Struthio camelus: one gene and its partner. The protein of the gene in region 2 interacts with the protein of the main gene of each other region in a biochemical or structural test. Links are inferred from orthologs where the notes say so. Each region holds a gene or a part of one and is shown on either strand. Other genes may lie near its edges.

Region 1 (11,666 bases), on a different chromosome or scaffold from region 2:
TTTTTTCTTTTCGGTGGTTCTGAAAGAATGTTTATAACAATTTGCCACAGTGTCATGTCATCCAGTTCAGGTGGAGGGATTGTTTCTGGTAGTAGGTCTTTCAGAATCGTCCGTGGGTCTGTACCTAACATGAGATGTTGCTGAACAAAAGTGTAGGGACCTAACAAAGAAAATTAAAAAACATACATATAATTATTTGAAATCAACATTCAAGTCGTTCAGGTGATCATGCTCACTATTCCATTTTTTAATGCTCGCTACTTCATTTTATTAATCCAGTGTAATGGCTTGTTTCTCAAAAACCATGCATGTCTTGCTCTAAATTCTGAAGTGGTAATACAGCTGGGATTTTTTTTTTTTTTTTATTATTTTACATTAACCCATGACGGACTTCTTAGAAAGTTCATCAAGGTAAAATTATAGTTCGCAGGACGCTTGGAGACTCTTAAAAGATCACATATTTAGAAACATTATTTTCACAAAGTATCTCCATTTTATTACTTCATTCTTTGTATTTTTCCAATATTTTGTAAGATATATACACAAATAAGTTGAAGAGACAACGTACATATGCGTACCTTCTAATCATGTTATAAAACACCACTCTAAATGGACAAATAGGGCTGACCAACAACTGGATTTTTTGTTGTTCTACCCCTCATGATTCCAGGCAGGATTTCCTAAAGCTATCAAATCAATCTTTCCAAAAACGCTCAGGAATAGAGAGGTAGAAGAAGGAAAAAAAAAAAAAAAGGTAAGCCTTAAGAAGCTAAACAAACAAATAGGATCCAAACAGCTACCATTAAGGCTAGTTACAATACACCTAAAAGAAAAGAAACATCACATATGTTTACCCTAAAGGTACATGCAGTGATTCTGCATGTACCCATTCTGTAACATGGGATCAGCAACATACGGGCAGATTTACAGTGAAATACTGCATTGCCTTAAGATGTTCTCTTGCTGCTATTCTTATCAAGAGTGGCAAAGTCATCACTGCAGTACCATCGTGCCCGTGTAAGACACAAGACCTCAAGTTCCAACCCCAGCAGGACCTGGGAGCCCCTTCCCCACACAAGCCACCAGTCACCTCATCAGCGCTTGTCTCACCTCTGTGCAAGGCAAGATCTACTGTTTTCTACTGAGTTCCCAACTGCCATGCTTAACTTCACAAATGCAATAGCTAGGCCAACTAATAATTCCCAAAGTGATATAGCACTTAGGCCAGTAAGCCCTACAGACTCACGTGCCTAAAATCACATAAGAACGTGTCTTGTTCCTTCAAGTATGAATAATGCTAAGTAAATACGTTAGAAATATGCCATAAATCTGTTCAATGCAGTGAGTTTGTGTGCCTACTTTTAACGTAGATCAGGGCAGGATTTCTGCACAAAAAAGCTATTGACAATTTTAATGACAATACAGCAAATTTAGAGAGATGCACTTTTAATCTCCTTAAACATCACACAGAATACCGTCAGCAATTCCAGGCTGCTGAAAAGGCAGTAACTGTAAGTCTTCTGCAACAGCAAAATAAATCCTTTGAAGACTGGGAAGAATTAAGTAACACTTCAAAAGTAAACTGAAGCTAGAAGAACGGTATATAAGTTTCTACCTATACGTGGTCTTGGAGTCCAATCACTAGAACTTGCATGTGAGGCTCTGTCATCATCATCACTGTCACAGGAATGGAAACCATTGGCTATGACTTCATCGCTAAAAAGGAAGTTATCTGCAAGACAGCACAACAGGGACATATTACAACGCTTGAGCCAAATGGCACAGGTACATATTTAAATATATCACAAAAACTAAAATGGTACACTTTTAAAGTTGACTTGCAATGAATTACAAATAGTATGACAGGCAACTTTGCTATTTAAAGACAAAATTTCTATCCTACATTTACCTTTTTTTTTCCCCTCAAGTTTGTAGATATTATTAGAATTACTGCAGGATTTATTATATTAATACCGGCCTTCAGTGGCCTGGATGTTGGCCTTAGTGACTTTTCATTCTATAAAGTGCTGGGCACTACGGTTTTTTGTATTTTATTTAAAACAATTCCAAATGTCTGACAATTGTAATTCCTTTCTCCTACAATCTTCACTTCACACAGCTCTCATTCTGAGACTGAATACAGTTAAATTAATGCACCACCATTTACAGATCAGTCGTCAACTAGATTTTAAGAGCACAACACTAAAAAGACCCACAAATACGCAGTCAGATACAGCTGAGTTACACACATTTGTTGGGCTGCTATCTGTCAGCTGAGCTGCAATAGCTGACCACATTTGCTGTCATAACTGAAACAGGATAAAAGCCTGTACACACTGTACACACTTTTATCCTGTTACAGTTATGACAGAAAACGTGCTGTCTTCAACCATCTGCATGAAACTCAACTCACCCATTTTACCTTGCAGCAGGGTTTGGTTAAGAGCACCACAGAGCTAAGGCCGCTGGCTGAGCCTAAGCAAGCCAGAGTTAACTCCATCTAACTCGACTGTGCGTCTAGATTAGGGAGCCCAGAGAGGAAAGGGGTACTTGTTTCACAACACACGTTAAGCTCACTGACGGAACGGTTAGAGGGAAGCGTCAATGTCACCCTCAGCACCTTATCAGAATATTACCCACTAAGACTTTTGGTTTGTCCTTTCCATTTGTTAGAAAACAGGTACAGCAACTGTAGCTTAATTTGTTGAAAAATCCAAGATCATAACCAAATGAGGACAAGTTACAGTCATCCTCTCCAAAGCAAAGAATCTTTATAGCAGTTTTCAACCTTCAAAATAGTGTTTCAGCTAGGTTACTTCACTCTTAAATAAAGAGCACCACAGAACACTATTTTTTATTCAGAGACTGCGTTGTCACATTCTTCACCTTTTCCTCATTTGCATTAATACTTTATTCTGATTGGAATGGAAAAAGAGTAGAGGACAGAACTGCACTTTTATATTTGCTGTTTTGTTCTTCTGCACTTACTATTTCTTATTATTAATCCAGACACTTGCAGCAGTTTTTCATTCCATCTCATCATGCATTAGTACTGATGTGTGCTAATCACTTCTTCATAACTCTTTTCTTCATAATTGCAATTATGAAGAAAGAAAACAAGTGATTAGTACACATCAGTAAATGTGAAGTGTTAAGTTTTAGTAAAACTACCTCCTATGTCTACCATGTAAGGAATCAAAGCTACATTGTTAAAAGACTCAAATCACAGAAAGGTCACCCATTATCTTGTATTTATGAAATGCTGTGATAACCAGGCTAAAGTAACTGTTTAAATTGTAACACTCCCTGTGCAGTTATTTGATTCCTCAGAGGAATAAAGGCAATTCTTGCCAGAAGTAACTGATACAAAGCAGAACATGCCCAGGATTTGAGTAACTTGAGCAAGAAGGCTTCGTCCAAGGCGTTTACAAAGGAATCGTTAGTTCAACTCTCCTGCTGCTCCAATGAAGTTTTGGAGCAACGGGGCTGTCCACGCATGCCGTGCGGCCCCTGTTCCCTTCCGCACAGCTCCGCCACCAGCACAAGTTGTCTGCAGAGCTTCACTCAGCTTAAAGGAAAAATATCTTTAACTGCATGTAAAGGCCTTACTGGCAGAACGCAACGTCTTTTACTGTTTAAGAAGTCTCTCCCAAGTACCACCTTAAAAAAAAAAATTCAAGGTCCTTGCGTACAGATACTGCCCAAACAGCATGCCTGCAAAGCACATGTTTTTAGAGGCCGAGAGTTCAGTTTCGCGCTCCGGCCGCTGACATCGCAGACAGGGCTGTAACTAGAGTTTACTGCAAGAGCTGGTGGAGACAGCTGCTCCTGTCCCTTTCACAAACGCTTCTGAGAAGCACAAGCGCAAATACGTTATCACAGCAGCAATCGTGAGGAGGAAACGGGGCTCGGGATTTTTCATTTCCAATAACTCCTTACTGCCAAAAACACAGCTCCCAGACAACAAAAACAAGAAAGAAAGAGAAAGAAGGTGTCAGAGACGCGAGCGGAGCCGGCCTCCTGCCCCGAAGCCCGGCACGAGCGGCCAGAGGGGCGCGAGCAAACCGGCCCGAGGCCGGGCAGACAGAGGCGCCCGCCGGCTCCCGCCGGCGCTCAACGGCCGCGACTAACGGCACGAGAGAGCCGCGCCCCGCCCCGCCCCGCCCCGCGCCGCTGCTCACCGGGCTGCGGGGCCGGCGCCGCGGCCGCCCCGTTTGAACACTGCGCCCGCCTGCAGCCAATGGCCGCCGCCGCCGCGTCGTCGCCGGGCGCCGCCTCCGCCCCCTCCCCCCGGCCCCGCTGCCGCGGCTGCCGAGGCGGCTCCGCCCGGGCCAGGCCCCGCGGCCCGGCCCTATTGTCCGCGCCGCTCCAGCCTGCCGCCGCCGCCTCGCCGCCGCCGCCGCCGCCGTCCTCCTCGCTGCCGCCGCCGCCGCCGCGCTCGGCGGTCACGGCCGCCGCCGCCGCGCCGGGCAGCTCCGCCGTCACAGCGGCGGCGGGCGCCGGCCCCGCGCCGCGGTCCGGGTGCTGGGCGGCTGCCGCTCCCCGCCCGCCGCCGCCGTCTTCCGAGTCGAGGCGCTGGCGTTTGGGAGCGGGCTCGGCGCTCTCGGCCGCGCCGCCGGGGCCGCCGCCGCCGCGGGGCTGGAGGAGCGGAGCCTCCCCGTCCGCCATCTTGGAGTAGCAACCGCCGCCGCCCCCCCTTCTCCTCCTCCCTCCCTCCCGCCCGGCGCAGCGCGCAGCAGCGCCACCGCCCCCTCCCCCACCCCCAGGGAGCGATTTAAACGCGGCACGTGACCACGCCACCGCCCACGCGGGCACCCGCCCCGCCGCGGCCGCAACAACAACAAACCGGGTCACGTGACGGGGGTAGGCCGCGGCGGGGGGGGGGGGGGTGCGGCCAGCGGCACGTGACCCCCGTGCCGGCTGAGCCCTCGCGCACCCCCCCCCCCGCGACGTGCACACCCCTCGCGCCACGGCGGTTGCTCGTCACGTGGCCGCGCGGAGCCCCGCCCGCGAGGGGGCGGAGCGCCGCCGCTGAGGGGAGCGTAGCGGCCGCCGCTGAGGGGGAACGTAACGGTCGCTCCGGCCGGGCCCGGGGCTGTGTCCGGTGCCCGTGCGTTGCCCGAGCGAGGTCGGGAGAAGGGAGGCGCCGAGTTCTGCCTGAAGTTTGTTTCCCCTCCCCGAAGTCCGCCGCAGGAGCTGGCGCCTGTGGTGGGACAGTGCCCGGCAAATGGCGGTTCCGGGCTTCCGTCGTAGGTCTACCTGTTTCTCCCGTTAAGTATTTACAAAAGAAAAAAAGAGAGAGAGGAAAAAAGCCCTCGCTCTTCTTTACAATGATCTTTAGAACGAGGATATGAAATACGCAATGCGTCTTGCTGAAGGGGGGGGGTGGGGAAAGGTGTTTCCTGTCACTGACTTCATCCCTTCTGTTGGATTTCTCTGTAGCTGTCTTGGGGTGGTGGGATTAAACCTGCCCCCAAAAACTTGTAAGGATCTCTCTCTTGGTACATTTGCCTGTCAGGTAACTTTACTGAAAGGTCTGTAAATGCTTTTCTGTAAACGTGGAGCTGGCTGACCTGAGGATAAAAAGGGAGATACTTAATGGATTTCAGCCTTTGCTTGGGCAGTCAGCTTGTCTGCTGACTGCACTGAAGGATTTTTGCATCTGTTGGTTGAGCTTTTGGTAGGGATGCTTGAACATTACCATGCTGCTTAAACTCTTGAGTTGGAAGAAGTTTGTCACGTGGGTTTTCCAGAACCTACCTTAACACTTTGTGTTTTAAAGAGCGAAGCCTACACAATTTACTAGATACCTGATGGTAAACTGCAAGAGCAGGGGTTTGCTCTAGTGATATTCACAATTTCATTCGTTTTCATGTCCCTGTTCCCTCATGGCACATACGCTAGCAACTGTGGTGATCTGTGTTTTTAGTGACCTCTGTTATTTAAGCATTACTTATAGAGGCAGCCTTCTAACGGCATCAAGGCTAACCAAGCCTTGATGCTTGGTTGTGGACCATCATTGTATAGTGCATACAGAGCTACCACGTTTTCTTTGGTTATTTTATCTCTTTCTACTTGGAAGTCTTGTTTGGACTGGTTTTGGCCACTTCCCCAGGCCTTTCTGATGTCCACAACCCTAAACAGTGCAGTAGGCTTCCAGATTTCCAAGCGGCACTAAATGGCCGTCACGCAGGCAGCTCAGAGAGCTGACTTCTGACCCCAGGCTTGGGCTGATGCAAATAGATTGTCAATAATATTTTTACTTAAATTTTATACTTTTGCTTATGCATGTGGTTTCTGGTTTTGTCTGCCTTGGCTTTGTTTCCCCTTGCAGATGGGGCATTGACCCCATCTGTCAGGTTTGTAATATACTCAATTCACGCTGGCATGGGCATCTTTCTTACTGCACCTTGCAAGATACAGTAGTGGTCAGACAACTGTGTAGTTGTTATCCTGTTGCTTTTATAGACTATTTGAAATTTGGAATTTTAGGGAATCAAAATGTTGGGCTGGACACAGTTCAAACATTATGCAGACCCCTGTTGACCACGTAAAATTTTGTTTAGTAGAAGTGAAACAGAGGGGGTGGAGGGAACTGCCCTTGTAAAACATGCTGTTCTCGTTCATTTTTGTGCTTTGCTGAATTTCAGTTGAAATACCAATGTGAAAGATATCTGAGAATATTTTAATTTCTCTTGCTTGTATTTTTTGCTCTGTCAATAGGCTCTGAAATGTATAATATCTGTTTGTTTTATTTTCTCTTTCACAATAACAAATTAAAGAATGAAATAACCCCAGTCAGCTGTGTGAAGTGTTGGCTACATTGGTTTTACATCATTGTTTCATCTGCTTACTTGTTCCTGAACTGAACTAATATTAATCAGTGTGCTTTTGAAAAATCAACTCTGAACTTTAAAAGGATAAGTATTTTTTTGCAGCTGCTTTGGTTTTATTACCTAATAATTATCTGCCTACATGAACGTTTTGATCTAAGCTTTATGGATATAAATGTAAATACTGTTTGGTTTAATGTGCCACTGCTTAATATCACAAGCTATTTACAGAATAATTTTAGTGAATTTATTACAACAAAATCCTTAAGTTTAGTGGCAAGGCTGAGATTAGGCAGGCAGAATGTATCCCTTTCAGGCCTTGATACCATCAACTTAAACAAACAAACAAACAAAACAAAACAAAAACCCTATACTTTTGGTTAAAACTGTTGATACTTAGTTTGGGCTTCCAAAGGAATTGTTTTCTATATAACTGGTTTTATAGGCAGTATAAGTGATTATGAGGAGGAAAAAAAATCTATTTTTTTTTTCTTTAGTTCTTCCAGTTATTAACAACAAAATCCCTGGAAAAACATACCATTTCTGAAACTTTACATTTCTTTTATTGAGGAACTATTTCTCAAAAACAAGCTGTGAAGTAACTGAATGTGAATCATAGCATCATTTATTATTCTGTGCAAATCTGAATGTATGCATTCTTTAAATCCTTAGTGAAGCTGAGGTAAGATTCAGATTATTATAACAGCACGTGCATGATACTTTTGTCAGCTATCTAGGAGAGGCGTGACTTAAATACACACCAAAATTACAATATTAACATGAAGACAGTGTTCTAACGAAGAAACTATCTCACCTGAGTAAGTACATGATCTAAAGCTTTCCGGAAAAGGTAGTGGTGAGGAAATAAATCAAGGCCCCTAAAGCTGATACGGATGTTGCAAGCATTTATGGGTGTTAATAGTGTTACAGCAGTAGTTGCCCCTAACTTGGGAAGCCAGTTTAGTGCTGCTTAGGTCAGGTCCTCTCCTGTTTCCGCAGCTCTAAGCATGCGTTGGGACAAGGCCAGAGCATGAAACGCAAAGCTCAGTGATACTGTGCCTGGAACTTTGTGAAAATGTATACTCTTTGTCCTCAGGAAGCAAAACAACCAAAGTCAATTGAGAAGAACTGATACTGGAAGAACTTCATGCATTTTATGGGAATAAATTCCCACCTAATCGATTCAAAATACGGATTTACAGATTTTGCTGATTTATTTAAAGGGCCATTTTGGACTTCTGTAAGTTGATGGCAAACCTTCTGTTATGCTGAAGCAAGCTTTGGTGTCATGTTATTTCACTTGTAAATGACTCAAAGCCAGCAAAATTGTGGATAATACGTTACAAGTGAATAGAAACATTTTGTTTGTGGTTGGTACAGAGAACAAACATCAGATTTCCTCACGCTCTGCACTGTTTGTACGTTCTGAGCAACACCAAGCAAAACGCAGGTACACACAGACTGTGCCATCTCCTGCACCCTGATTCTCTTTGGCATAAAGTTTATGTCTTGAGAACAATCATTGTATTTTTTCCTGTGTATTGTATGCAGGTTCTCTTACCCTCCTTTCCAAAGATGCCTTGCCCTGTGGGTTGTCCTGCTGAGATCAGTAGGAGTAGTAATAGGTTGAGTTACTGTTCAGTATCGGTAAAGGTGATGACATTTGGATTCATGTTTTTTCTATTAATAATGCAAACTAAACTGATAATAAGGGGCTGGTTTGTTCATTCCAGGTGAACGTGCATACGCTGGTAGTTACGCATTGTTTTGAGCCTTCTCCAGTTCAGATTTAGCTGTCATCCACGTTCAAACCTTCAGACCGTGCTACCGGGGTGTTTTTGTCCCAAGCATGAGAACGCTTTGGGAGGAGGGAACTCCAATGTGCTCGCTGCGGCAGTGCCGGTCAAGCTCTTCATTATTCAGTCCCAATGGACGGATTATGGACGGGTCCAGGGCCTCAGCCGACAAATCTCCTGGATGGCACTTCCTGACCAGAGTGAAAGAGAAACTCGCGAGTCTCAGGGTTTAGTCTGCTGAATCCTGCTCTTGGATCTGCAGTTCACCTTGCAGCACAAAAATAGCTACCAAAATCTGGAGGAAAATAGGGTTAAAGATCCTTCCCTTTCACCTTACGCAAATATGCGAGAAATACTTGGACGAGAACGGTATGTCAGAAGTGCGGCAGGGGAACAGGGACAGCTGTTTGTTTTTTGTCCTCCCCCAAGTACAATCTACTTAAATATTTACACGATCTCTTGCTAAAAGGCTTTATTTTTTCTATTATGCTTTTATGGTTTGTTAGAAATGGGGGAGTGGGAAAGATTTGTAATTGTTAATTCTTCTACTTTGTTGAAAAAAATAGATTAGCTGTTTTATCTGCTCTGAGAAATATGATAATTATGATTTCTAGCAGATTTAAATCGTTCCACTGAGCTTTGTGCTTTGTTGTTTAATAAAATACACAATTTTAATTAATACTTTAAATACTTAATTATATATTATAGGCTCTTTTGTGTACTTTATATATTTTACTATCTTAATAGACTATCTGAATGTACAGTAAAATAGAAAATTTCAGACAGTACAGCCTTCTGTGTTAAAGAGAAAGCAGTGGAAGGCTAATAGACAATTTTAAAAGATTAATAATATATATCATAAAACAGTAATAAAAATAAAGCAGTTGTAAATACAAAAATATTTGGAATTGCCACTAGGTTCTCCCTGATTAACATACAGCTAGTCTAGCCACAGTTACACCCTGTGCATCTGTTCCACATTGACACTCACTTACTAGTGACTTACTAGGTCACTGCATCTAAAATTGATTAAATATTCAAGATATAAATTGGTAAGTAGTGTTTTTAAAGAATAAGCACTATTTAATGACCTTAAACACCTTGCATTACAAAGCTCTGGCAGGGACGGAGGGAAACAAGAGTGCTCCGTAGGCTCCAGGGGAAAGGCTTTAGTGAATGGCTGGTATTACACCTAGGAATTTTTTTTTTTTTTGTTTAAATCCACGGATCATAGGAAAGTACAGTAAATCATATCAGTAGTCTCTATGTGACCGAGGCCTTGATCATTAATCACTGCTCAAACTTCAGGCATTTCACTTCAATGTGAAATGAGTTTTACAAGGCATGTTTACTACACGCACGATAAAGACCTTCAAGACAGAATTTGAAAGTAATTGTACATGAGAAAAATATTTCTTTTGATAACAGAAAACAAGTATTTTATTTTCATAGTCTGAACTTTGTCAGACACAAAATTGATGTACAAAAACGATGAATTTGTTTCTGAAGAATAAATTACCTTTGTGTCCTATGTAGTAGTCTTCAAAAACTAAAGATTCATCCTGCTCTCTTGCAGTGACGGACAGAAGTCTTGGGGGCTTTGGCAAGGCCAGGGCTTCATCCACAGAACTTTGCAGCCTTATGATCATTGTTTTTGAAGTAATCCGCACTCTTTTCTATAATTATCTATATAATCCCCTTGTCAAAAGTTGAGGCAGAAGTTACAACTGAAAATTAAGCAGAATATATATTTTAATACATGTGGGTCCCGGTGCAGGCAAGCCTTTTAAGTGTGCGCCTGATTTTAAGTGGATGTATGCATGGTGGCAGGACTGAAGTCTCAAATACAGCTAGATTTTACTTAGTATCCTGAATTCTTTCCAGTCGGTACCAGAGCCAGAGTTTAATGTTGCAATTACTTTGGCAACTACAAGTCCCAGGGAGCATTGCCATCAGCAGGCTTGTGCAACCGGATTGGCATCCTGCAGGGGCCAATGGAGAGCAGTTCCCGAGACTTCATGTGTCTCAGCTCCCTCTGTTAAAAAGCACTGGAGAGAGCTGTAGACCGGAGTGGAAATAGCTTATTTCCCTTGGCTACTTTTAAAGCAGTCTGTGAGCTTTGCATTGGTTCTCATATTCTACATCCCCAGTGCCTCAGCTTGAGGAAGGCCACCGGGCTCACCCAGATGGATGCGATTTTGACCTACAGCCCGGATGACTTGGAAGATTACTACAACTTGCTGGGGTGTGATGAGCTGTCCACGGTAAGAGTCCTCCCTGCCTCCTCTCCAGGTTAAAGGTATTTTGAGGGCGCTTGTCTTCCTACGGGGGGGGGGGGGATCTGAAGTCCGTTATCCCTACAGGTAGGACTATTTGACATACGTCACGAACCTTCTTTCTTGCCACTTTTATCTTTTAGTATTTCCTCATTGCAAAGCTCCATTTACTGGCCGTGTTAAGATCCTAGAATAAGGCTCATATGAAAAATATTTTATAAAACAGAATTTTGTTATTGATGCAACTGAAATGATGGTTTATTCATTAGTTTCATTCAACATGTGATATGGTTACGTATTATGAGCCAACTGCATGAAAATAACATTTTGGAATATAGTCATGGTTTTAAAAGATGACAAAAGCTATATATGTGTTACTAATGCAATTAATGTTCATAGCTGTAGATAACTGGTAACGGTATTCAGTTAAAAATATATTTATATAACATATATGTACATATTCTTTTTTAAAAAATGTATTAATTGGTTGTGAGGAAAAACACAAAAATAATCTTTTTGTTATTCATCATATTAATTATTGTAAATGCTCATTTTAATGATACTTTCAAATACTAGTTCTACTAATTTGTTTTGGTAGCAGATACATACATTTCTTACTTTAGGATGAGATCTATCTAAGCAACTGTTGAATGATTTGTAGCTAAAATAAACGTTCTTCTTCCTAAAGATGACCATATAACACTTACAACATTTTTTGGATAGTCAAGAGTTAGTGGTATACTAATATTTTTAATCCAGCT
Region 2 (11,081 bases):
GGGACAAAACGGGGGGGGGAGCGGGGACAAAACGGGGGGGGGGAGCGGGGACAAAACGGGGGGGGGGGAGCGGGGACAAAAGCCAGCCCCGGGGACGAATTCGGGCGGCGCAGGTGAAATTCGGCAGCAGGGACGAAACTGGGTATCAGGGAGGAAACTGGACTAAGGGGACAAAAGCCAGCGGCGGGGCCGAAACCTGGGTCCTTCGGGGCAGCGCGAGGAGGGAGGGGAACGCAGGGCCAACCGCAGGCAGCCCAGTAACCCCAGTTTGTGCCGCTCTCTCCTCGCCCAGGCCCGAGGAGGCGCCGGCGCCATGGGCGAGAAGCCCAACGCGTGCCCGTACTGCGGCAAAGGTTTCCGCTGGAGCTCCCACCTGACGCGGCACCTGGGCACGCACGGAGGCGGCGGGCCGGGCCCGGAGCGCGCCGGCACGCCGCCGGCACCGCCGCCGCCGCGGCCTTACGCTTGCGAGCGCTGCGGCAAAGCCTTCGGGCGCAGCGCCCACCTGGCCCGCCACCGCGAGACCCACTCGGGCGAGCGGCCCTACCGCTGCGGCTGCTGCGGCAAAGCCTTCCGCCGCAGCGCCCACCTCACCCGCCACCGCGGCACCCACACGGGCGAGCGGCCCTTCGCCTGCGGCCTCTGCGGCAAAGCCTTCACCCGCGCCGCCCACCTCACCCGCCACCGCCTCACCCACACGGGCGAGCGGCCCTTCGCCTGCGGCGACTGCGGCAAGAGCTTCGCCCGCGCCGCCCACCTCACCCGCCACCGCGCCACCCACACCGGCGAGCGGCCCCACAAGTGCGCCGGCTGCGGCAAGGCCTTCGCCGCCGCCGCCCACCTCCTGCGGCACCAGCGCACCCACCGCGCCTAGACGCCCGCCCCGCGCTCCTTTTTTTCCCCCCTCCTTCTCCGCTCTTTTTCGCCGGGGGCGAAGAAGGGAGGGAGAAAACCCAGCGCCCCTTCCCGGGCCCGTTGCCTCCGTCCGGGCTGCCCCGTGCTGGTTTTTTCCCCCCCCGCCCCACCGCTGCGGGGGGGTATTCGGACTCACCCTTCTGCCCTGCCGTCGACCGGTGGGGGAAAACCCTTTCTGTTTCCCTTCCGTAAAGCCTCCCGGAGTCCCGGGATCGGGGCAAAAATCGAGGCTTTTCGCTCAGCACCATCTCAGTAGCTCTCCAGCGGGGCTCATCCAACCGGTTTCTCGTCTCCGCGCGAGGAAGCTCCTGATTTAGCGGCGGAGCGTCCCCTCCGCCACCCAAAGGCGTCTTAGCCCCTCCGGGACTCACTGCGCTCAGCCTCTCCGAAGGGCTCCCCGCTTTCTCGCCGGCCCCGCTGGAGGAAGACTCGAGGAAGACTCCGGCTCGAGGAAGTCGAGGTCGGCGTTGCCTCGTGCCGGTGGCCGCCAGGAAAACCAGGAGGCGAGAGACTTTTTTTAAGACAGTCGCCTCGGCGGTTTTTCCGGGTGGTACCGGCGGCGCGGCGGGGCGAGCTCTTCCCTGCCGCGTCCTCCTGTCGCGTCTCTCCGGAGCGAAGCACCCGCGGCCGACGCTCGTCGTCGTCCGGTGCCGCCTGAGCGAAGGTCTCGAGACGGTTCTCTCCTGAGCGGCCTTCCCGGAGCATTTCTCGCTCTTTCTCAAGACAGCCCCCTCCTGAGCCGGGTTTTGGTGGTTTTTCTTTTTGTTTTTTGTGATTTTTGTGTGAATTTTCCATATGAATTTCCAGCGTCCTTATCTTTAGCTCGGGGTGTCGTCTCTCTCCCCGCCGGGAACGGCCTCACAGCCTCCGCTCTCCTCCTCGGGGCCGGTCCCACATCCACGCCCGGTCGCTCGCTCGGCCCCTGGGATCCCGAAAACATCGCTCTCGGGGTGCGAGGGAGGACGGGAGCAGACAAGACTTTGCCGGGGGTGACCCTTGGCTGCGGCGGAGCAGCTTTGAGGACTCAAAGCTCCTTTAGAGACCCCCCAATGTCTTCTCTGTGGGTAAAAGAAGGCGTTAAAATGATTGAGAAGCGAAAGCGGGGCAGAATTAGGTGGGTAGAGGGAGCCGATGGGCGCCCTGGTTTGTGAACAGCGCCCGAGGGAGGCTGTTTGCCCCGGGCTAGTCGCCTTCCGGGGTTGCCAGGGTGGGAACAGAGGCTGAGGGAGTCGCCCGGGGGCTGTCCTGTGCACGGCCGGCCAGGTCCGAGGGCTTCTCCCTGCCCAGCGGGGCCAGGCGAGGCTTGCAGTGATTGTGGGGGGACACTGGGCATCCGGACCCGGCAAGGCCCAGGTTCAGGTCTAAGCCCACATCCAGGCCTAGGCCAAAGCCCTGACCGGGGCCCAAACCCATTCCCACACTTGGGCCAAGGCCCGGGCTCTTGTCTATGTCCAAGCCCAGATGCAGGCCCACATCCATGACCAGATTCAGGCCCAGGGCCACGTCCAGGCCCAGATCCAGGGTTAGACCCAGGCCCAGGCGCCTGCCCATGTCCAAGACCACGTCCACACCCAGCCCCAGGATGAAGATCTTGTCCACGCTCACGACTAGGCTCACATCCAGCCTCAGACCCAGCCTCAGGCCCAAATCCAGGCCCAGGCCCATGTCCCAGCCCTGACCCAGGTCCCAAGCCCCAAGCCAGGGCCTAGGCCTGGGCCCACATCATGGCCAGGCCCAGATCCAGGCCCAAGCCCCAAGCCCCAAGCCCCAAGCCCCAAGCCAGGGCCTAGGCCCACATCATGGCCAGGCCCAGATCCAGGTCCAAGCCCCAAGCCCCAAGCCAGGGCCTAGGCCTAGGCCCACATCGTGGCCAGGCCCAGATCCAGGCCCAGATCCAGGCCCAAGCCCCAAGCCCCAAGCCCCAAGCCAGGGCCTAGGCCCACATCATGGCCAGGCCCAGATCCAGGTCCAAGCCCCAAGCCCCAAGCCAGGGCCTAGGCCCACATCGTGGCCAGGCCCAGATCCAGGTCCAAGCCCCAAGCCCCAAGCCAGGGCCTAGGCCTGGGCCCACATCGTGGCCAGGCCCAGATCCAGGCCCAAGCCCCAAGCCCCAAGCCAGGGCCTAGGCCTGGGCCCACATCGTGGCCAGGCCCAGATCCAGGCCCAAGCCCCAAGCCCCAAGCCCCAAGCCAGGGCCTAGGCCCACATCATGGCCAGGCCCAGATCCAGGTCCAAGCCCCAAGCCCCAAGCCAGGGCCTAGGCCTAGGCCCACATCGTGGCCAGGCCCAGATCCAGGCCCAGATCCAGGCCCAAGCCCCAAGCCCCAAGCCCCAAGCCAGGGCCTAGGCCCACATCATGGCCAGGCCCAGATCCAGGTCCAAGCCCCAAGCCCCAAGCCAGGGCCTAGGCCCACATCGTGGCCAGGCCCAGATCCAGGTCCAAGCCCCAAGCCCCAAGCCAGGGCCTAGGCCTGGGCCCACATCGTGGCCAGGCCCAGATCCAGGCCCAAGCCCCAAGCCCCAAGCCAGGGCCTAGGCCCACATCATGGCCAGGCCCAGATCCAGGCCCAAGCCCCAAGCCCCAAGCCAGGGCCTAGGCCCACATCATGGCCAGGCCCAGATCCAGGTCCAAGCCCCAAGCCCCAAGCCAGGGCCTAGGCCCACATCATGCCCGGGCCCGGGCCCGGGCCCAGGCCCAACACACATCCAGACCCAGGCCCTGCCCCGTGAGAGCCCTGCCCTAGCCACAGCCATCGACTTTGCCCTCGGGCCGCCCCACCCCGGAGCCACTCCCGCCATTACTCCCTCCTGGCCACCAGAGGCAAACCGGAGTGACTCTGGATCGGGGAGGAGCCCCCCCCGTAAGGTATTTTAGAAGATGATTGGCTCAACAAGGTGTCAGTCAGAGCGACTGCCCCGCCTCCTGGAGGGCTGTGGCTGTCGATTGGCTGAGCGCCACGTTCATCTTTAAGACTCCGCCTTCCCTGTGGTGATTCGGTCGGTGATTGGTCTAGAGCCTGCCCCCTCTCCGGGCTTTGAGACAGCTTTCGCCCTGGAAGCCTAGCGGGGGGAGGGAAGCGCTTAGAGGAAGAGGATTGGCCTCCACGCCCTGTCAATCCTCGCTCTCCGGACGCCTATTGGGCTTCAGTTGCTGCCTCGCGCTGTTGAGCGAGCTGATTGGCCCGTCTCCCTTTAACCCCCGCCTCTCCGCGGTCGCGTGCAGGCGGGCCCTTCCCGCCTCTTTCCGTTTTCCCGCCTTCCCCGCCAACGCGCGCCTCCCATTGCCTCACCGCCCCGTCACTCCCCCGCAGACCCCGCCCCCCCTCGCCCCCTCCGCGGGCGCTGATTGGCGGAGGCGGGCGGCCGAGCCGAGCCGGGCTGCGCGCGCAGCTCGCCGTGGCGCGCGAGCCCCCCCCACCTCCCCCCCCCCGGTGCGGGGGGTCGAGCTGGAGTGGGGGGGGGAGCGGCGGCGGCGGCGCCGCCATGTCGGGGCCGGCGGTCGAGGCGGGCGGCCCCGGCGAGGCGCGCTCGGACTCGCTGGACCTGCTGGAGCGCTGCGGCGTGTGCCGGGAGCGGCTGCGGGCCGAGCGGGAGCCGCGGCTGCTGCCCTGCCTCCACTCCGTCTGCCGGCCCTGCCTGCGGGCCGAGCCGGGCCCCGCCGCTCCGCCGGCCGCCGCCAAGGAGGGGCCAGGTGGGGGCGGCGGGCACCGGGGGGAGGCGAGCTCACGGGGTGGGGGCGGCGAGGCCCCTGGGTAACCGGGGGGGGGCGTCGAGAGCCCGGGCTAACCGGGGGGGGGCGGTGAGGCCCCTGGGTAACCGGGGGGGGGCGTCGAGAGCCCGGGCTAACCGGGGGGGGGCGGTGAGGCCCCTGGGTAACCGGGGGGGGGCGTCGAGAGCCCGGGCTAACCGGGGGGGGGCGGTGAGGCCCCTGGGTAACCAGGGGGGGGGCAGTGAGGGCCCGGGCTAACTGGGGGGGGGGGTTGAGGCCCCTGGGTAACTGCGGGGGGGGGGGCGGTGAGGCCCCTGGGTAACCGGGGGGGGGCGTCGAGAGCCCGGGCTAACCGGGGGGGGGCGGTGAGGCCCCTGGGTAACCGGGGGGGGGGGCGGCGAGGGCCCGGGCTAACCGGGGGGGGGGTGGCGAGGCCCCTGGGTAACCGGGGGGGGGGGCAGTGAGGGCCCGGGCTAACTGGAGGGGGGGCGCCGAGGCCCCTGGGTAAGCGGGGGGGGGGGGGCGGCGAGGCCCCTGGGTAACCGGGGGGGGTAGTGAGGGCCCGGGCTAACCGGGGGGGGGGTGGCGAGGCCCCTGGGTAACCGGGGGGGGGCAGTGAGGGCCCGGGCTAACCGGGGGGGGGGTGGCGAGGCCCCTGGGTAACCGGGGGGGGGGGCAGTGAGGGCCCGGGCTAACCGGGGGGGGGGTGGCGAGGCCCCTGGGTAACCGAGGGGGGGGCGGTGAGGGCCCGGGCTAACCGGGGGGGGGCGGCGAGGCCCCTGGGTAACTGCGGGGGGGGGTGGCGAGGGCCCGGGCTAACCGGGGGGGGGGTGGCGAGGCCCCTGGGTAACTGCGGGGGGGGGTGGCGAGGGCCCGGGCTAACCGGGGGGGGGGGTGGCGAGGCCCCTGGGTAACCGGGGGGGGGGCGGTGAGGGCCCGGGCTAACGGGGGGGGGGAGGACTACAAAGGCCCAGGCTAATATGGGTGGGGGGGCGGCGAGGCCCCCGGCTAATGGGGTGGGGTGGGGGAGCAGTGAGGCCCCGGAATAACGGGGGCGAGGAGGGGGTGGCCAGGCCCCGGGCTAACTGGGGGGGGGGGGGCGATGAGAGCCTGGGCTAACTGGGGTGGGGAGCGATGAGGGCCTGGGCTAACTGGGGTGGGGAGCGATGAGGGTCTGGGGTAATGGGGGGTGAGGGGGGGGGCGGTGAGGCCCCGGGTCGACGGGGGGTGAGAGGGGGTGGCGAGGGCCTGGGCTAACGTGGGGGGGGGGGGAAGACTGCAAAGGCCCAGGTCGACGGGGGTGAGAGGGGGGGCGGCGAGGCGAGGCCCTGGGGTAACGGGGGGCGAGAGGGGGGGCGGCGAGGCCCCGGGGTAACGGGTGCGAGGGGGGGGGGGCGAGGCCCTGGGGTAATGGGGGGTGGGGGGGGGCGGCGAGGCCCCACGGTACTGCCGGAGGGGGGTTATGCAAGGGGAAAACGTTGCGCTGGGCTGTGCCGGGGTGGGGGGGGGGGAAGGTTGCCTGCGAGCGGCAGCAGGGGCCAGGCCAGCCGGGGAGGGGTGCGCGGGCCGGGCCCTGCAGCCGTCCGCAGGTCAGGAAGGGGCGGCGGGGGGGGGGGCGTAGGCGGCGCGAGGGCGCTGGGGTGAGGCAGGGTGGGCGTGCGAGGCTCGCGCGGGTGCTAAGCCGGGCAACGGAGGAGTAGATGGGTGCTCTTGATGCCCTTGGGTTCCCTGAGGGCTCCAACACCAATGAGCTCTTCCCAGAAAGCTGGTCCGTGTTTCCGGAGGTGGTTTGGGATGTCGGGTGGACCTTTAGGTCCCCTTTCACCAGCTCCCTTGGCCGCTCCCTGAACGTGCTGTGCTTGGTGGCTTCTGCTGGCCTCATCCCAGTTTGACACCGGCTTGTACCAGGAAGCTCCCAACTGCCCTGTGGCCCTGTTGGCCTTGCCCGGATGCCTGGGTCCTTCCCAGCGTGGTGTTGTCCCGCTCGTGGCAGAGCTTGGCGTTGCTCGTGGTCGCCTCTATGGAGGTTTCTCACCCCAGTCCTGGAGCCCCATTCTTTTCTTTCCCCTTGCCTTGGCATCTGCCAGGCAGAGAAGTTTCTGGAGAGATCAGAAGCGCTGCTTCCTCTCGCTGCCACCTGTGGTAGATGGTATCTCAACGGTCGCAGGTGGCTTACCCTTTCTCAAAGCCCTGGAGAGGAAGAGGAGGAGGAAGGGTAGACCGGTGGCTGCTTGGCTGTTGGTGGCAGAGCTGGGGGAGGCGGCGAGGGGTGCCTGATGTGGCTTCTGGTTGAGGAGGTTCAAGTTGGGCATCTGGAGAAAGTTCTTTGTCTGGAGGGGACCAGAGCAGTTGTGGGTTTCCGTCCTTAGAGGTTTGGCTAGGTGAAGCTGTCAGCGACCTAGTGCGGTGTTGGCAATGGTCCTGCTTTGGTTGAGGTTGGTGCAGGAACCCCTGGAAGCCCCGACCCTCCTGCCCCGGTGAGGTCAGCTGGGGAGAGACCCAGGGATGTGGTGGGCCTCTGTCTTTAGAGGTCTTCAAGGTTTGCGTGTGACCATGAGGGACCTGATCCAGGTGGACCCGTTTTGGCCTGGGGTTGGACCAGCAAGGTCCCCTCTGCCCTGCCCCAAGCAGGAATGGGTCCTGGTGAGTCTCCATCCGTGGAGGTATGCATCCTATGCGGAACCTGGTCTGTACTGGTCCTGCATTGGGCTCAGATTGGAGCAAGGACCCGCAGAGGTCCCGTGCAGCCAAAATCAGTGCTGACGAGTCCTCTTTGGATCTCCTGGCGTGACGGGGCACCCAGAGCATGCTTCTGCATGAAAAGTTTGGTTTCGGAGTGAAGTTTTCAGCTTGGCCTCGACAGCCATCCCATTTTTGAGGGTTTCTTAGCTCAGCGGTCAGATATCCAGGGCATCTTCCCGGCTGCTCCGGGTTCTTCCTTCTCGCCTTCCATTGGATGGGCTCTGCTGCCAAAAAACTCGTGGGAGAGGTTGCCTCCAGGCTGGGCTTCTCGGTCAGCCCCGGCGACCCATCTCTGCCGCCGCGGAGCTGCTTTGTCCCAGCCTGGCCGCTGCCACCTCCTTGCAGGAGGCTTCGGAGGGTGAAAAGGGGATGAGGCGTTGCGCAGGTCCCTTGGCCGCCTCCAGGGGAGTCTGGAGGGGCGAAACGCCACGACCGGAGCAAAACGCCCCAATCGGGGCAAAACACAGCAGGGGTTAGGGGCTGCTTCTCGTACCTTCCCCGCACCCACCCCACCGCTTCCCTCCCCACAGTGGTCGACTGCCCCATCTGCAAGCACCAGTGTAACCTGAAGGACATCGTGGAAAACTACTTCCTGAGGGACAGCGGGGCTGAGGCGGCTGCCGACAACAAGGACTTGAACCAGGTAAGGCCCCGTGCCGGCCAGGCGTTGATGCGGAGCTCCTCGATGAGGGGGGGCCAAGCTCGTAGCGCCTGTCCTAGCCGCTCCTCAGGGACCTCCTTGGTCTGTTGTGTTTGGGTGCTGTTATTAAGACAACGCATTATTTTTATCCCTGCCACGACAATGCTGATAGCCTGAATTAACTAATTGGTAATAATCCAGTTATATTGGGTTGTCCTTCCTCCTTCCCCAGTGGTTCAAGGGTTAATCATGCCTTTTTTTGGGGCATGCATTGCACAAGCTGGGCAAAACTGAAACTAAATTGTTCGTCCAATAAATAATGTGATGACGTGATAAAACAGGTCTGAAATAACGTGGCCAAAATGAGCTCCTAGTCGCTGGGGAGAGGTGGAAGTGTGAGTACAGCCTCCGTACGAGATGCGAGAGAATCCCTGCAGCCGAGGATTTGGGGCAGGCCAGGTCCCACACGTGTGTTTCCGAGCCCCACACACATGTCACCCCACGGATCCTTGTCCCCTAGTGCTGCACCAGCTGTGAGGACAACGCGCCGGCCACCAGCTACTGCGTGGAGTGCTCGGAGCCGCTGTGCGAGACGTGCGTGGAGGCCCACCAGCGGGTCAAGTATACCAAGGACCACACAGTCCGAGCCACAGGTCCGTTGCTGTCACCGCGCCAGGACATGCCAGCTTTTGGGAGGACGGGGACGTGGAGGGACGTTGAGCGGGGTTGGGGTGGTCCCTGTGTGCCTCCAGAAGGGCCACCGCAGCAGTTAGGGCCACCGCAGCAGTTGTAGCCATCCCGCAACGAGGTGGCGGGGGTCGGTGGCGTCACGGTGACATCGTGGTGATGTCGTGCCACGTTTCCCCACGCAGGTGGCTCCAAGGCGAAGGAGGGCGAGCGCGCCGTGTACTGCGCCGTGCACAAGCATGAGCCGCTGGTGCTCTTCTGCGACACGTGCGACACGCTCACCTGCCGCGACTGCCAGCTCAACGCGCACAAGGATCACCAGTGAGTGATTGGCAAGCCCGTCCACTTGCTAATTAGCGTCCTGACTAAATACAACCAAATTGATTTTTCACGGCTAATGAATCACTTGAAGAGATAGTAAGTTAGATCACTGATGCAATATGTTGATTTATGTCAAGTCAGATAACTGATCAAAGTCTGATTATCAATGAAAATTTGATTCTGTGGCCTATGTGTTCTGTAACTTGCCAGGGCCTGCTTTTAATTAATTTTGAATTAGTTGATTTTAGTTGATTTTTAGACTGAATTTTAAGGAATGACTAAGAAAAGTCAAACAACTAAGTAACTAGCTGGCTAGCCGATCAGTTTAACTTTGTTAGCTAGCAATTTAAAAAAATAAATCTTTAATCAACTGAATTTTGTCCAATAGATAACTTAGTTATGTAATATCTGGTTAATTATCTGTTTAGTTAGCAAGCTGATCAATTTTAGTTTTTAAGTTGGTTTTAGTTTTCAGTCAATTGGACTGTGATTAATTATCCATTAAAAATCTAACAAATCTTTTGCTAATGTATTAAATTATTTAATTTTTAACTAATTATTTTTCAGACTGATTTTAATGGATAAAACTGTTTAAAAATCTCAGATTAAAATGTGAACTGACTAATAAGCTGCTTGTTTAGTCGTCTAATTTGCCTAATAAGTTGCATTAGTTATTACTATGACTTGTTTTTATCATAAGAGTAAAGTTTGCGCATTCTAATTAATCACCTAATTAACCAGGTAAAGCTTGATGGTTTTAACTGATAATTAGATTGCTTAGTTATGTAACTGTTAGTCATTCCTTAAAAATCAGTTTAAGTGTTTCTTACTGATTATTTAGCTGATGAAGCTGTAAAAGTCATTTCATTTTTTTAAGTGATTAGTTTAAATATCCTGAATTTTAGTGGGTAAAATGTTCCGTTAGTTTTCTCATTTGTTGTTTACTAAAATTCATTTAAAATATGATTGATTTCTGAATCGGTAGTCATCAAGTTAGCTCGCCTTTTTTTATGATTGTTTGAATTGTAACTGATAAATGTGGTTAGTTAGCTGCTTATCTGGTTATCTTTTAATGGCTGATAGTTTGATTGGTTGTCTGACTAATTGGCCATTAAAAATGGATTTAATATGAAACTTGACTGATAAAGATAGGCAGCTCATTTGAGTGAAATTGATTTTTAGTAGGTGATTAATGGATTTTGTTAGCTTGACCAGCTGCTTAGTTCTGCCAGCTGTTTAACCCATATTGATTTTATTTATTTTAATGGCTTAATAGCTTTTAGGTTTTAAGTGGCTTTTTTGATGGCTTTTTTTGTTTTTAATGGCTTAACTAGCTTAATGAAGAAGGTGAGCTCAGCAGTGAGCAGGTTAACTAACTAAAGTAGATTTGCTACTCTGGTGAGCCCTGGAGTTAAGTCTGCGAGATTATTTCTGGGACCCCCAACGGTTGTGTTAGGGGGATGTGGATCAGTGTGGACAAGGCCATCCTGGTGTTTTGGGGACCGCCGCTGACCCCATTTCCCCCCCCTGCAGGTACCAGTTCCTGGAGGACGCGGTGAGGAACCAGCGCAAGATGCTGGCGACGCTGGTGAAGCGCCTGGGCGACAAACACGCCAGCTTGCAGCGCTCCACCAAGGAAGTGCGCAGCTCGTACGTACCCCCACCTGCCCCGGGCAGGGGGATTTGCCCCCAGCGAAGAGCATCCGGCCCCCCTCACCGTTGGCCTTCTCTGCCGGCAGCATCCGCCAGGTGACGGATGTGCAGAAGCGGGTGCAGGTGGACGTGAAGATGGCCATCCTCCAGATCATGAAGGAGCTGAACAAGCGTGGCAAGGTGCTGGTGAGCGACGCTCAGGTGAGCTTCTCCTCTTACCTCGTGTCTGCGCTCTGGGGTCTTGGGGAGCAGCTGTGTCCCCCTAACAGCATCCGTTATGTCCTGGTCTGTCCTCGCTGATGGTGGTTGTGTTTCCTCTCCTTGCAGAAGGTGACGGAGGGGCAGCAGGAGAAATTGGAGCGGCAGCACTGGGCCATGACCAAGCTGCAGCGGCACCAGGAGCACATCCTCCGC

Evidence for each region.
Region 1: of the proteins of TRIM28 (region 2) and SIRT1, one has a biochemical effect on the other in vitro, tested with the Homo sapiens proteins (2 studies listed by BioGRID). The link is inferred for Struthio camelus from reciprocal best matches to the Homo sapiens genes TRIM28 and SIRT1.

Annotation. Positions count from the first base shown.
Region 1 is NC_090948.1:38,568,634-38,580,299, reverse strand, and holds the start of SIRT1 (NAD-dependent protein deacetylase sirtuin-1), read right to left. Parts: upstream 4,689-11,666; 5' UTR 4,669-4,688; coding exon 4,182-4,668; intron 1,733-4,181; coding exon 1,616-1,732; intron 161-1,615; coding exon 1-160. Other genes in the region: DNAJC12 (dnaJ homolog subfamily C member 12), read left to right, coding at 10,816-10,893. UniProt on the Homo sapiens protein: NAD-dependent protein deacetylase that links transcriptional regulation directly to intracellular energetics and participates in the coordination of several separated cellular functions such as cell cycle, response to DNA damage, metabolism, apoptosis and autophagy.
Region 2 is NC_090975.1:271,857-282,937, forward strand, and holds the start of TRIM28 (transcription intermediary factor 1-beta), read left to right. Parts: upstream 1-4,373; 5' UTR 4,374-4,398; coding exon 4,399-4,606; intron 4,607-7,896; coding exon 7,897-8,009; intron 8,010-8,526; coding exon 8,527-8,659; intron 8,660-8,878; coding exon 8,879-9,014; intron 9,015-10,547; coding exon 10,548-10,664; intron 10,665-10,753; coding exon 10,754-10,868; intron 10,869-10,994; coding exon 10,995-11,081. Other genes in the region: ZNF324B (zinc finger protein 324B), read left to right, coding at 314-874. UniProt on the Homo sapiens protein: Nuclear corepressor for KRAB domain-containing zinc finger proteins (KRAB-ZFPs).